2 linked regions of the Neodiprion lecontei genome follow. The protein of the gene in region 1 interacts with the protein of each later gene in a pairwise test. Links are inferred from orthologs where the notes say so. Each region holds a gene or a part of one and is shown in the gene's direction. Other genes may lie near its edges. The genes, in order: GTPase Era, mitochondrial; trimethyllysine dioxygenase, mitochondrial.

Region 1 (4,416 bases):
GCAATTCAACTTGAATCACGCAGTTCATTTTATATACACGTAAAATAATATCCATTGATACTTTCACCTGTATCTCGTGTCCTCGACCACCATCAGACTATCGACCATCGCCGTCAATTCATAAATTAAAACCGAATGAGTAGAGTAACCGGGAAGGTGGGACAAAAGCGCTATTCGGCGTCACCGATTCTTCTTACGTCATGCAAGAATTTTAGCAGCGAACGGAACGATTTCTGTACTGCTGGCACACGTTTCGCACGTGTGCGTGCCGTTTAACTTTTCTCAAGTCTCGGAAGCGCGACCATTATATCTTATGTCCAATGCCCACGTGCTGAAGGCAGGCATTCGTAAGTGCGTAATATGAAGTTATAAAATGTGAAAAAATGTCTCACAAAGGAGGACCGGATACAATTTTCACCAACAAAAAATCTTGGTTTTTGTATACCATAATTTTTTATACACTTGACAAGACGGCGTGCAAAATCGATGCCAAAGATGCACGAGACGCAAATTGAAAACCAGACGTGGACGTATGCGGAAATCGTAAATTCTCGAGTAAACATTGAAATTTGGAGACCTTGATAAGTCGCAGTCTCCGAAGACGGGCGCCTAGTCGTCGCCCCCGCATGCCACGCGACAATCAATACCTATCCGACAACATCGGATGCGCTGGAAATAATCGGCACCGCGGTCGGAAAAGGAGCTGATTCTTGAAGCGAGAAGCGGCTACTATCAGCAGCTTGCGAATTATCTATGATTCATTTCACGTGGTAGAGGAGAAATAATTTTTAAAAAATGGCGAGTAAATCGCGACACGAAACAATATCCTTTCATTGTTTACAACTGTTTCGATGATGCTATTATCGCACACTTGTTATAATCATTCGCGGGAGAATTTTTTGAGGTACATACATACATACATACATACCGAGGAATAACGTAAAAATATTACGTTCCACTAATGAGGGAGGATTTCTTTGATCGAAGAGCCTGTAACTTGATGAGAGATATCCCGCGGTGTGATTGATGCTGCGCAGAAATTTAAAAGATTTTTGCAAGCGACAAAAAACATGGTAACATAGCGTTGGTGACGAACCGCGAGACGCGCACGTTGACAGCACTAACAGCTGATCACAGGTCGCAATGGGGAGGGTGGGAGGGCAGGCTATACGCTGTCAAAATTAAAACGCATACATACTCCGATTCGACGTTTCGGATCGATAATGGATGTGAAGCGAGAGTCTTTGCGAACGCGGAATTGATCTGGATCGACAGAACTACGGACCAAGAGCTCGGTAACACGTTTTCGATAGACGGTCATCGCAATTCCAACGTACCGCGCAAGCCATAGCTTGGCGAAAAAATCAATTCCAAGAAGAGACGTGAAACTTTGTTCGCAAACCTCTGACAGCCGATCGGGGGCGCGGGGAGAGGCAGGGAGATAATTTTCTTTCAGGCCTTTTGCCCGGAGGTAATAAATCTCAACGGTTGCGATTTGGGAGTAAATTCGTGTGTATATAATCGCGAGAAAAATTAAAGAACCGTTTTGTTGTACATACGCAGACCACGGCCATTTTGATAGGACCCGTTGACGTCTGGCGATGAAAACGTTACGGATTATCGCATATATTCGACTAAAACTACCGCTAAATGTATGCTGTGTCAAACTGGCTGGTCAATACTCACAGTAATCACGACAATTCGGCGTCAGAACGCTTTCGAACTACTGAAAATCACTCGACAACCGGGATACACAAACGTTCAGAAGCTTTTCACGATCACTTCCACAGACCAGACTACTCGCAAGGTGGCGCGGGGCGCCTCAGGGCGCATGCGCCATCTTTCCTCTTACTCACCCCCAAAGTTAGAGCATATACTACCGGAGGGAGCTACCCATCCCATCGACCTCGGGAAAAATGCAGCTGAAGTGATGAGAATGTGAGACATACATCAGAACTACTCCGTCTCTCTCACTCGGCATTTTATTGGCTGAGAGGAAACGTATCGGCCAATCAGGTGTAGAGCAAAAGAGACAGATTGTAACTCACATGTACCTTTCTCTCTCACTCCTCCGATACACTATCTGACACGCGAAACTACCTCAGTAGTATATGATCCAAGCCCCCGAAGCGGACGAATTCCAGAAGCGTTTCCGCGTATCGCGCGCCATCTTCTCGTCGCCGTTTCAATCGATTCTTCGCAGATGTTTCTAAAGTACTGTTTTCAACAACTCCTTTCGGAAATACGATTAACGAATGCATTTGGTCATTAGACTCATTATGAAAGTACTATTGGATAAGATGTTTTTCGGTCCCGTAAATCTCTGCAAATACCTTTGTCCACTGATCTCTAGCGACTTGTCATTTGCACTGTTGATCGTCATTCACCAGTCATGCGTGCCGGTCCGACGGCAGCGACGTTGTAGGCACGTTACGTTCATACATACACGTACGAATAGCAAAACATGCTGAGATTTTTGGTGATTTGTGAGCTTTGTAATCCAATTTACACCGTTGCTTGGTCAGTATAAAGACTGTTATAAATACGTGACTCACCGAGATCCAAATGTTCTTGTTCCGGAGATGCTTGATTCGAGTTATAACGTCGAGTACACGGAGCACCCCTGTACAAGTAGCTAGGTTATACAGCGCCGAACGACTTGAGAAATATGATGCCCCGGTTTCAGCGGACGATGATTTCAGCAACGTACGTAGGGAAGAATTCAAATCTTTGAGAATCGCGATATTGGGGCTACCGAACGCGGGGAAGAGTACTCTTATCAACCAGCTAATCCATCATCAGGTACAAGGAAAGCGTTGAAATTGCATAAAAAGACCAATTAAATTTGTTGCTGTCGCTAACCTCTCCTCTGTAAACCAGGTATGTGCCTCGTCAATGAGGAAGCACACGACCCGTATGGCATGCCGTGCCGTCCTACACACAGACACCACAGAGTTGGTGTTTGTAGATACGCCTGGTGTCGTCACGACCCAAGAAGTCAAACGTCACAACTTGGAGAGTAGCTTCCAAAGTGACCCTGAAGTCGCCCTAAAACAGGTAGATGTTGTAGGTGTTCTCCACGATGTATCCAGATCCAGACTTAGACAAGAGATACTTCCAGAAGTACTAAACCTGTTGAAGACGTTGGATTCTGATACGCCAACTTTATTGTTAATGAACAAAGTTGATCAGATAAAGAATAAACGAAGGTTGTTAGAATTTGTTAATCACTTAACTGGTGAAAATGGATGGCAAAACTTTGCAGATATCTTTATGTTGTCTGCATTGAATGGGGACGGAGTGTCGGATTTAAGGGTAAGTAATTAATTATTAAAATCCTATGATTCCATAGATTATTTCATTCAACATTGATTAATTTCATGCTGGAAATTAGGAATACCTCCTTGTTTCGGCAAAACCTCGAGACTGGGACTACGAAAAAGATACTTTAACTGATCAAAAACCAGAAGAAATGATTATACGTATTGTACGTGCCAGCCTCCTAGATGTTCTTCCAGCAGAAATCCCATACAACCTCAACATTCAGATGGAATATTACAACGTTTGCGAGGATGGAAGCATCAATACTTTTGTTCTGATCGAATGTCCCACTGAGCGATTGTACAAGCTAATTCTTCGCAAACTGAAAAGCAAGTTGAGATATATGGCTGAAAAGGTAGAACAAACACTAAGTAAGAATCTTCAACAGACCGTCAGAGTAAGATTGGTTTTCCAGCCAAAAAGAGTAACTTAAGTATACAATTACATGATAGCATCAGCGTGTATATAGTAATAGCAAAGTATCAATTATTCTTTTATATCTCCTTGTACACTCCTTGGTAGTTCAATAAAGTCTACCAACTGCGTATGATTCGATTTCGATTTCGTGGCACCAATTTTTTCCTCTCCAACTGCTCATTGTACAATCGGCCGTTATATACTTATAATATTATTATTATTGAAATTCGGGAAAGTGAAATCCGTGTCCTTGAGATTTTTCGCTATCCACTCGTCCGCATCTGCCTCGAGCTCGGGTGTAAATGTATCTATCCATCCTCCAGTCTGTCCTTTCCGTATGAAACTCGTATTTGCTATAACGCCGCACTCTTTCAATTCTGTCCCGTTTACGGTTGAAATTTGCCGAAAACTATTGAAGTCCAAGTAATCAACCAGATTGAATATCTGTTCCCTCGTCAGGCTTTTGTGCAAGAATTTGGCAACCTTCACAATGGTTCCGGGTAAATCCTACAACGGTGAAATCGTAGTTAATCATCCGTATATGTGGATGTGGAGCACTGCTCAATTATGAAACATACCATGTTCATATCCTCGTAAAAAAGGAAAAGCAAATTCGGGTGTGTCCTCAATGCCCAAGCTTCCTTCAAATGTTCCCAGTACGGTGACCACGTTGCTAAA
Region 2 (6,537 bases), on another chromosome or scaffold:
ATGACCTCTTTATCGTCTCGATTTCAAGGGGACGGAGGTCACAGATCAAAATACCAAATTTCTTGGCTGGTGAAGAATGCTAGATTTTTGGGCGACAACCAAGAGCAAAAAATCACCCCTGTTCCTTGGTTCAAGCTCCCGGATGTTGCAAGGGTGGAATTGAATTCCTACATGAACACGGACGCAGGTTTATCCGAGGTTCTTTCATCCCTGCTGCGATATGGAGTAGCGTTTGTCACTCATGTGAGTATGGGGTTCGGAAAAAGCCAAGTATTTGTAATTTACGAGAACAATATATTGCGTTACAAGGGCCGAAATTTGGCGGTTGCGACGAGTGTGAAATCACGCACACACGGTAGTTTTTATGACAAGCGAATGAAAAGCAGTGGGCCTTACTTGGCAGTGTCGCGGGACGTGATTGGTCAATTTTTTCTCCCTAGGGGCGAAAGTGAGTCAACTGTGGGCTGCGCGTGCGCAAACCCATATCTACAGCACAGATGAAATTGGCTACTTGTTCGTCTCGCTAAATTGCTACGCAGAGTCCCGCACTTTTCATGCACGTGTGATAAAAATGTAATTTAACCCCATGTTGCGTTTTTCAGGTGGATGCCACCATAGCCGCGACGGAAAAAGTGATAACCAGAATGGCGCCAGTTCAGAAGACTTTTTACGGCGAAATGTTTGAAATTCACAACGGCGAGTTCGAAGACGACAGTGACGTCACTCCGAAACTTGATACTGCACTGCCATTGGATGCCGCCTTCTCGAACAACTATCTTGATGCTCATACGGATAATACGTCCTGGTCCGACGCTGCAGGGTAAAGAGTACACAGATATATGGTTTTAGGGTTGAAAAACCAAATACATTTAGGTTTACTCGAATGTCCTGTCGTTTTGCGATTGAGATGTAGGGAAATGCCATTCATACATACAGCCTACATCATCCGGAAATTGAGAATCAGAAAACACGCCCGTTACGAAATTTCCAGAAATGTTATTTACTCTAATGATAGTCAACGCGAATGAAACAATACTTTTATTATTTAATCGAAATGAATCTGCGTCAATTAAAATAACACAGGCTATGGTATCAACAATTTGAGCAAATTAGGCTTTATAATTACAGTGTGCAAGGTGGTTGAACTTTGTTGGTTGTTTAACCGATTCCAATGTTTTGGGGTCATTTGTCGAAAATTACCTGAGAAAAATTCGAGAAATCTTATATTGCAGTACGATCAGTTATACATGCACAAATGAAATTATCTCATCCACTCTGGTGATGATTACTTGTAAAACGTTTTTCCGGTAATCTCTACAGGTCTCTACGGTTAAAATAAAATAAGCTCGGTAACATTCGAATCTAATAAAAGACGCCAAAGTCGAATCATTTTGAACGTTTCGGCTATGAAACCTTTTCTCCAATTGCTAATACCTTACATCTATTGTGTTATTAAAATTCGTATAAATTCATGATTTTATAGTAAGAATGTAGCTGCATTCGTTTTTACTATCTTTCGTGCAAATAACACGCCTGATAAGTTTTTAAACGCTATTTTTCTTCTCCTGCAACATTTGACCGCAGTACATGCAGACGGTTCGAATGATTCACCCTTAAAAAATTCAGGCTACAAGTGTTCCACTGCCTGAAACCGGCGACAAAAGGAGGAGAGACGATCCTGGTGGATGGTTTGAACGTTAGTATGCTGATAAAACAGCAGTCTCCGGAATCTTACGAGAGATTGACTCGGATGCCAATCTCCGCAACTTACATCGATCCGGGTCAGCATCACACTCACGTGGATCCGCTTCTGAAGCTCCACCCTGTCACTAAGGAGCTTTTGCAGATCAGGTTAACTTTGTTCACAGTTTGTACCGTTTCGTATTGTCACGATAAAAGTCTGTCAAATGAAGTAATTCGCATCCGCCGTTTTCGACCACAGGTTTCAACTCTACGATCGTACTGTGCTAAGGACTCTTCCTTACGATCATATCCAGCAACATTACCACGATCTTCGCCTCCTCGCTTCCGTCATAGCCGACAAAAGTGGCGAAACCCTGGTAAAACTTGTACCTGGGGAAGTAGTCTTTATAGACAATTGGAGGGTGTTGCATGGCAGGACTGCGTACTCAGGTTCCAGACTTCTTACTGGCGGTTACGTGGCTCGCACCGACTGGCGAAGCAGAGCCACAGTCATGGGCCTGATAGATTATTAACTATAATTTCGAATTAATAAATAAACAACAGGCCGTGAACCTATATTAGGATCAAGAAATGAGTGGAGGATAGTTCATTAATTCAAGTTTTTATTGTAATAACGCAGACCGAATATGTATTTTTTTAATGTTAAAAGTTAAAAATAAGTAAAATATGATAATAGCATATCTTAAATAATGAATTTCGTATGAATTAACGGTAGCTGGATTTTGTGATTTGAAATTCTATCACAGCTAAAACTCTCTTTCGCTGTTTCCCTATCTTCTGTGGACATATTATTCAAAATCATGTCCGAGCAAACTATATGCATTTTAATCTTTGTACTGTTTGCAATATAATTATTAGCATTACGATACAAAGTTTTATTGATATTCTACACGCTTTGATAACCCCGCCCATGTGTGTCAGTTACACTTCCGATAAGCAGAGTTATACTTTTAGAGGGTCGCTGTCCATTCTAATCATTTCCAACTGTCACTTCGTCGTGTTGCCTTGAGAAGACCATAGATCAACGTTTCTTTACACGCTTGGTGTGTGTGTGTGTGTTGATCATTTGTGACATCTGCGTCAATGGAAAAAGCAGGTAAACTTATCAAATACTTCGTTACTATACGCTGTGATACTGTACGAAATACTTCAATGCTTCAGAGATTTCCCTATTGAAGGATGGATTTCAACTCGAAATCCCGAATGCAGAGCCAATCACAATTTTCCACCAGTGGCTGCGCGATCATTGCAGGTATGAATAAGTGGAATTAGCCAATGAAATCGGACCGATTTACGCATAATAACGATTCTCTGGAACATTTCCAGATGTGCCGAATGCTACAATGATACAACGAATCAGCGCAAGCTCAGTATTCTCGATTTTCCCCCGGATGTATTTCCTCGTGAATACAATCTCTCTGACGGAGTGCTCGACGTCATTTGTAAGATTATTTAATGCGTAAAAAAATATCTATCAGGCAATGCTCGCACAGTTTCATGACCGTCATATCGTCTCGATTTCAAGGGGACGGAGGTCACAGATCAAAATACCAAATTTCTTGGCTGGTGAAGAATGCTAGATTTTTGGGCGACAACCAAGAGCGAAAAATTACCCCTGTTCCTTGGTTCAAGCTCCCGGATGTTGCAAGGGTGGAATTGAATTCCTACATGAACACGGACGCAGGTTTATCCGAGGTTCTTTCGTCCCTGCTGAGATATGGAGTGGCGTTTGTCACCGGTGTGAGTACAACAATCATTACATTATGCTACATGAAGGGTATGAAGCTTTAGGTTTTTAATACCGATGTTACCGTAATAGAAACACTTCACAAAAATGACCATCCGTTTCATTATCTTCTGTGAATGACGAGGCTGAACGCTTTTTTCAGGTAGAAGCTACTCTCGCCGTTACCGAAAAATTGATAACCAGAATGGCGCCTGTACAAAAAACTTTTTTCGGCGAAATGTGGGAAGTTCATAACGAGGAAATTGCCGATGCCAGTGAAGTCGCATCGGAGACCGACATAAAGCCGCACTATGACACTGCATACACAAGCATCGCCCTTGGTGCTCATACAGACAATACTTACTGGTGCGACGCTGCAGGGTAAGTAAGAGGTGTTTTGAAATTTTTTAAACATCCCACAGACAACGAGCTTTCAAATTTCAGCCTGCAAGTTTTTCATGGTCTGGAGCCTGCGAGAATCGGAGGAGAAACGCTCCTCGTAGATGGCCTGAACGTTAGTATGCAGCTGAAACAGAGGTATCCGGAATCTTACGAGAGACTGACGCGGATGCCGGTTTCTGCGACCTATGTGGAAGAAGGTCAGCACCATACGCACGTGGATCCGATCCTGAAACTCCACCCCGTCACTAGGGAGCTTTTGCAAATCAGGTTGGCTGGTCTCTTAGAATTTTCCATTCTTGTATCGAGAGGGAGCAGCGAAATGAAGTAAAAATAAATCAAATTAAATAAAAATATCAAATCCCTATCACAGATTTAATCTCTACGATCGTTCTGTGCTGAGAACTCTTCCTCGTGATCAGATACAGCAACACTATAACGATCTGCGCCTCATAGCTGCTATTGTGGCCGACAAAGAGGGGGAAACCCGCGTGAAACTTTCGCCTGGAGAAGTAATTTTCATTGACAACTGGAGAGTAATGCATGGCCGGACCGCGTATTCTGGTTCCAGACTACTTGCTGGTGGTTACGTGTCACGTACCGATTGGCGAAGTAGAGCTGCAGTCATGGGTCTGCTTGATAATTGAAGGTATGCACGAGTGTGTATGATCAATTAATTTTCAACAGATGAGCAAGCGAATTAACTGAGAAATCAGCCCACTACGTAATGATACGACAAATTTTTTCTATTAATTTTTATCCAATGTCCAACGGAAATATAACGTGTGTGGTAGAAAAGAAAGACTTATTAGGATTAATCGTAACATACTTATCGATACATTGTCAAATTTATCCTTAGTACTTGCTATCGGTAGTATGTTCGAAAACGTTGGGTCTCGCATAGGTAATTCTAGAATGATCTTGAGTATCGAAAATTTTTATAATATGTTTCGATACATCGCGCCGAACGACGTTTGCAAAATTTTTCTACCGTATGTAATAATATAGTCTCTAATTTTCAATGTCTGTGAAAAAATTACAAGAAATTATACAATTGGGAAACAAATCAGAACAGTTATTATACATGGCATCACGCTTTGGAAACTTCTCTTATTCAGTGAAGCTTGTCGTGCTTGGCTAATCTGTAACTCGTAAAAGAAAAGGTGCAAACGCAAACGATTACGAACGGTATTAACGAAGCTTAAAGTCGTTCAAAACTCAGTTTTATTTTCATACTTATTGTTAGTTAATCGAAATACCGTAAAATTAACGTAAACACTATTCACGAAGTCTACCGGTTTTACCGAGAAATTTGCTAGACTCAATTTTCACGTCCCTTAAAATCCTCACTTCACAATATTTGAGATCTCGACATCAGACTTTTTTTTTCTTTCCAGATGATGGCAAGAGTCTGTCCTCAACGATCTCTGGCAAATTGTCTTCTAGGGAAGGTTCGAACCTTGTTGATGTAGAGGTAGACGCTTTTGCCCGACGACCATTAATGCCAGTAGTAGAATTCAATTCCATATTTGTTCTTACGGTAATATCAGGCATCGCTAAATCTCCGTCAGTTTTTTCACAAGTCAATGGCTGAACAGAATTCTCCTCGTCGTTGTGTCGGTTTTCCATTCTGTCAATCCTGGGTGGCTTTTGATGAAGACTGTTTGTACCTTCCAGGTCCTTAAAAACCACAACATTTACATGTACCTCATAATAATTAGTCCTTTCATATTTTTGAATTTTTTTATATCTGAAGAATTTTTGCTTTGCTTCAGCAAAAAGCTAATTTTAAATGAAGTAGATCAAATTTTGCCAGATTTAACGAATACTGTTTATTTTATTCTATATTTATATCCAGTAGTGGTTAAACAGCACATAAGGATAATGGAAAAAAAAATTGAAACGGAACTTGTTTCCCTGCATCATTTAACATTTTGCAATATTACAACACCCATACGTCTTGAATATTTTTGGGAACCAATCCCAAACTGTCTAACATTCCAGTCGCCTCGGAATCCTCGGTAGGGTAAGCTGATATCCTTTTACATTTGATCAAATGCGTCGCTGCAAAAGAACCGAAAGATGTTATCAGAATATAAAATTGGATATAAAAAATGATCTCAAACCAGTAGTAAATGAATGAATATACGTTAATACCTAATTGGTTTCCATCAACCGACGAAAAACCGCAAGGACACTGCATTTTATTTTCCAAGGGTATGTTCAGCAGTGGTGAAAGTACTGCTAAGCCGGTCAGTGGTCTAGCATTGTGAAACTGTTGCTGATGTTCCTTGAAAGCTCGCCAACAGCACGTCGAGTATTTGCAGTGCAAGCATTTCTGTTCACCGCTGTAAATTATTAAGTATTACACCATACGGTCATATAACAATCGAAGCAATCATTGTACGAAATTAGTTCTACGACCAAAAAACCGACGGGTAATCTTACGGGTAATGTTCAAGCTCATCTATGTCCTCCTCGCACTCCTGACAAGCCAACTTAGGTGGAGCAAGAATTCTAATCGGTCCTTCGGACCATGTCTTCACGTTCTCAGTGTTGGGTAATTCCTGTATAGGACTATCTATTTCGATACGTTTCACTGGGTTACGTGGTCTCGGTATCATTATACCGTTTTCAGTTGCGATGTACGGAATAATTTCTGTAAAAATTTACGAATACGGTAATTTAGACTGTAATTATTAATCAGA

Evidence for each region.
Region 2: the proteins of GTPase Era, mitochondrial (region 1) and trimethyllysine dioxygenase, mitochondrial interact in a two-hybrid assay, tested with the Drosophila melanogaster proteins (2 studies listed by BioGRID). The link is inferred for Neodiprion lecontei from reciprocal best matches to the Drosophila melanogaster genes CG7488 and Tmlh.

Annotation. Positions count from the first base shown.
Region 1 is NC_060264.1:3,220,616-3,225,031, forward strand, and holds GTPase Era, mitochondrial, read left to right. Parts: upstream 1-2,174; 5' UTR 2,175-2,565; coding exon 2,566-2,802; intron 2,803-2,880; coding exon 2,881-3,315; intron 3,316-3,394; coding exon 3,395-3,754; 3' UTR 3,755-3,882; downstream 3,883-4,416. Other genes in the region: sulfotransferase 1C4, read right to left, coding at 3,934-4,245, 4,317-4,411.
Region 2 is NC_060262.1:1,985,761-1,992,297, forward strand, and holds trimethyllysine dioxygenase, mitochondrial, read left to right. Parts: upstream 1-2,216; 5' UTR 2,217-2,787; coding exon 2,788-2,800; intron 2,801-2,865; coding exon 2,866-2,956; intron 2,957-3,030; coding exon 3,031-3,146; intron 3,147-3,229; coding exon 3,230-3,444; intron 3,445-3,593; coding exon 3,594-3,811; intron 3,812-3,874; coding exon 3,875-4,099; intron 4,100-4,202; coding exon 4,203-4,476; 3' UTR 4,477-4,478; intron 4,479-5,020; exon of another isoform or gene 5,021-5,203; coding exon of another isoform or gene 5,204-5,509; 3' UTR 5,510-5,771; coding exon of another isoform or gene 5,772-5,893; 3' UTR 5,894-5,947; downstream 5,948-6,537. Other genes in the region: uncharacterized protein LOC107226935, read right to left, coding at 5,204-5,509, 5,787-5,893, 5,987-6,177, 6,278-6,488.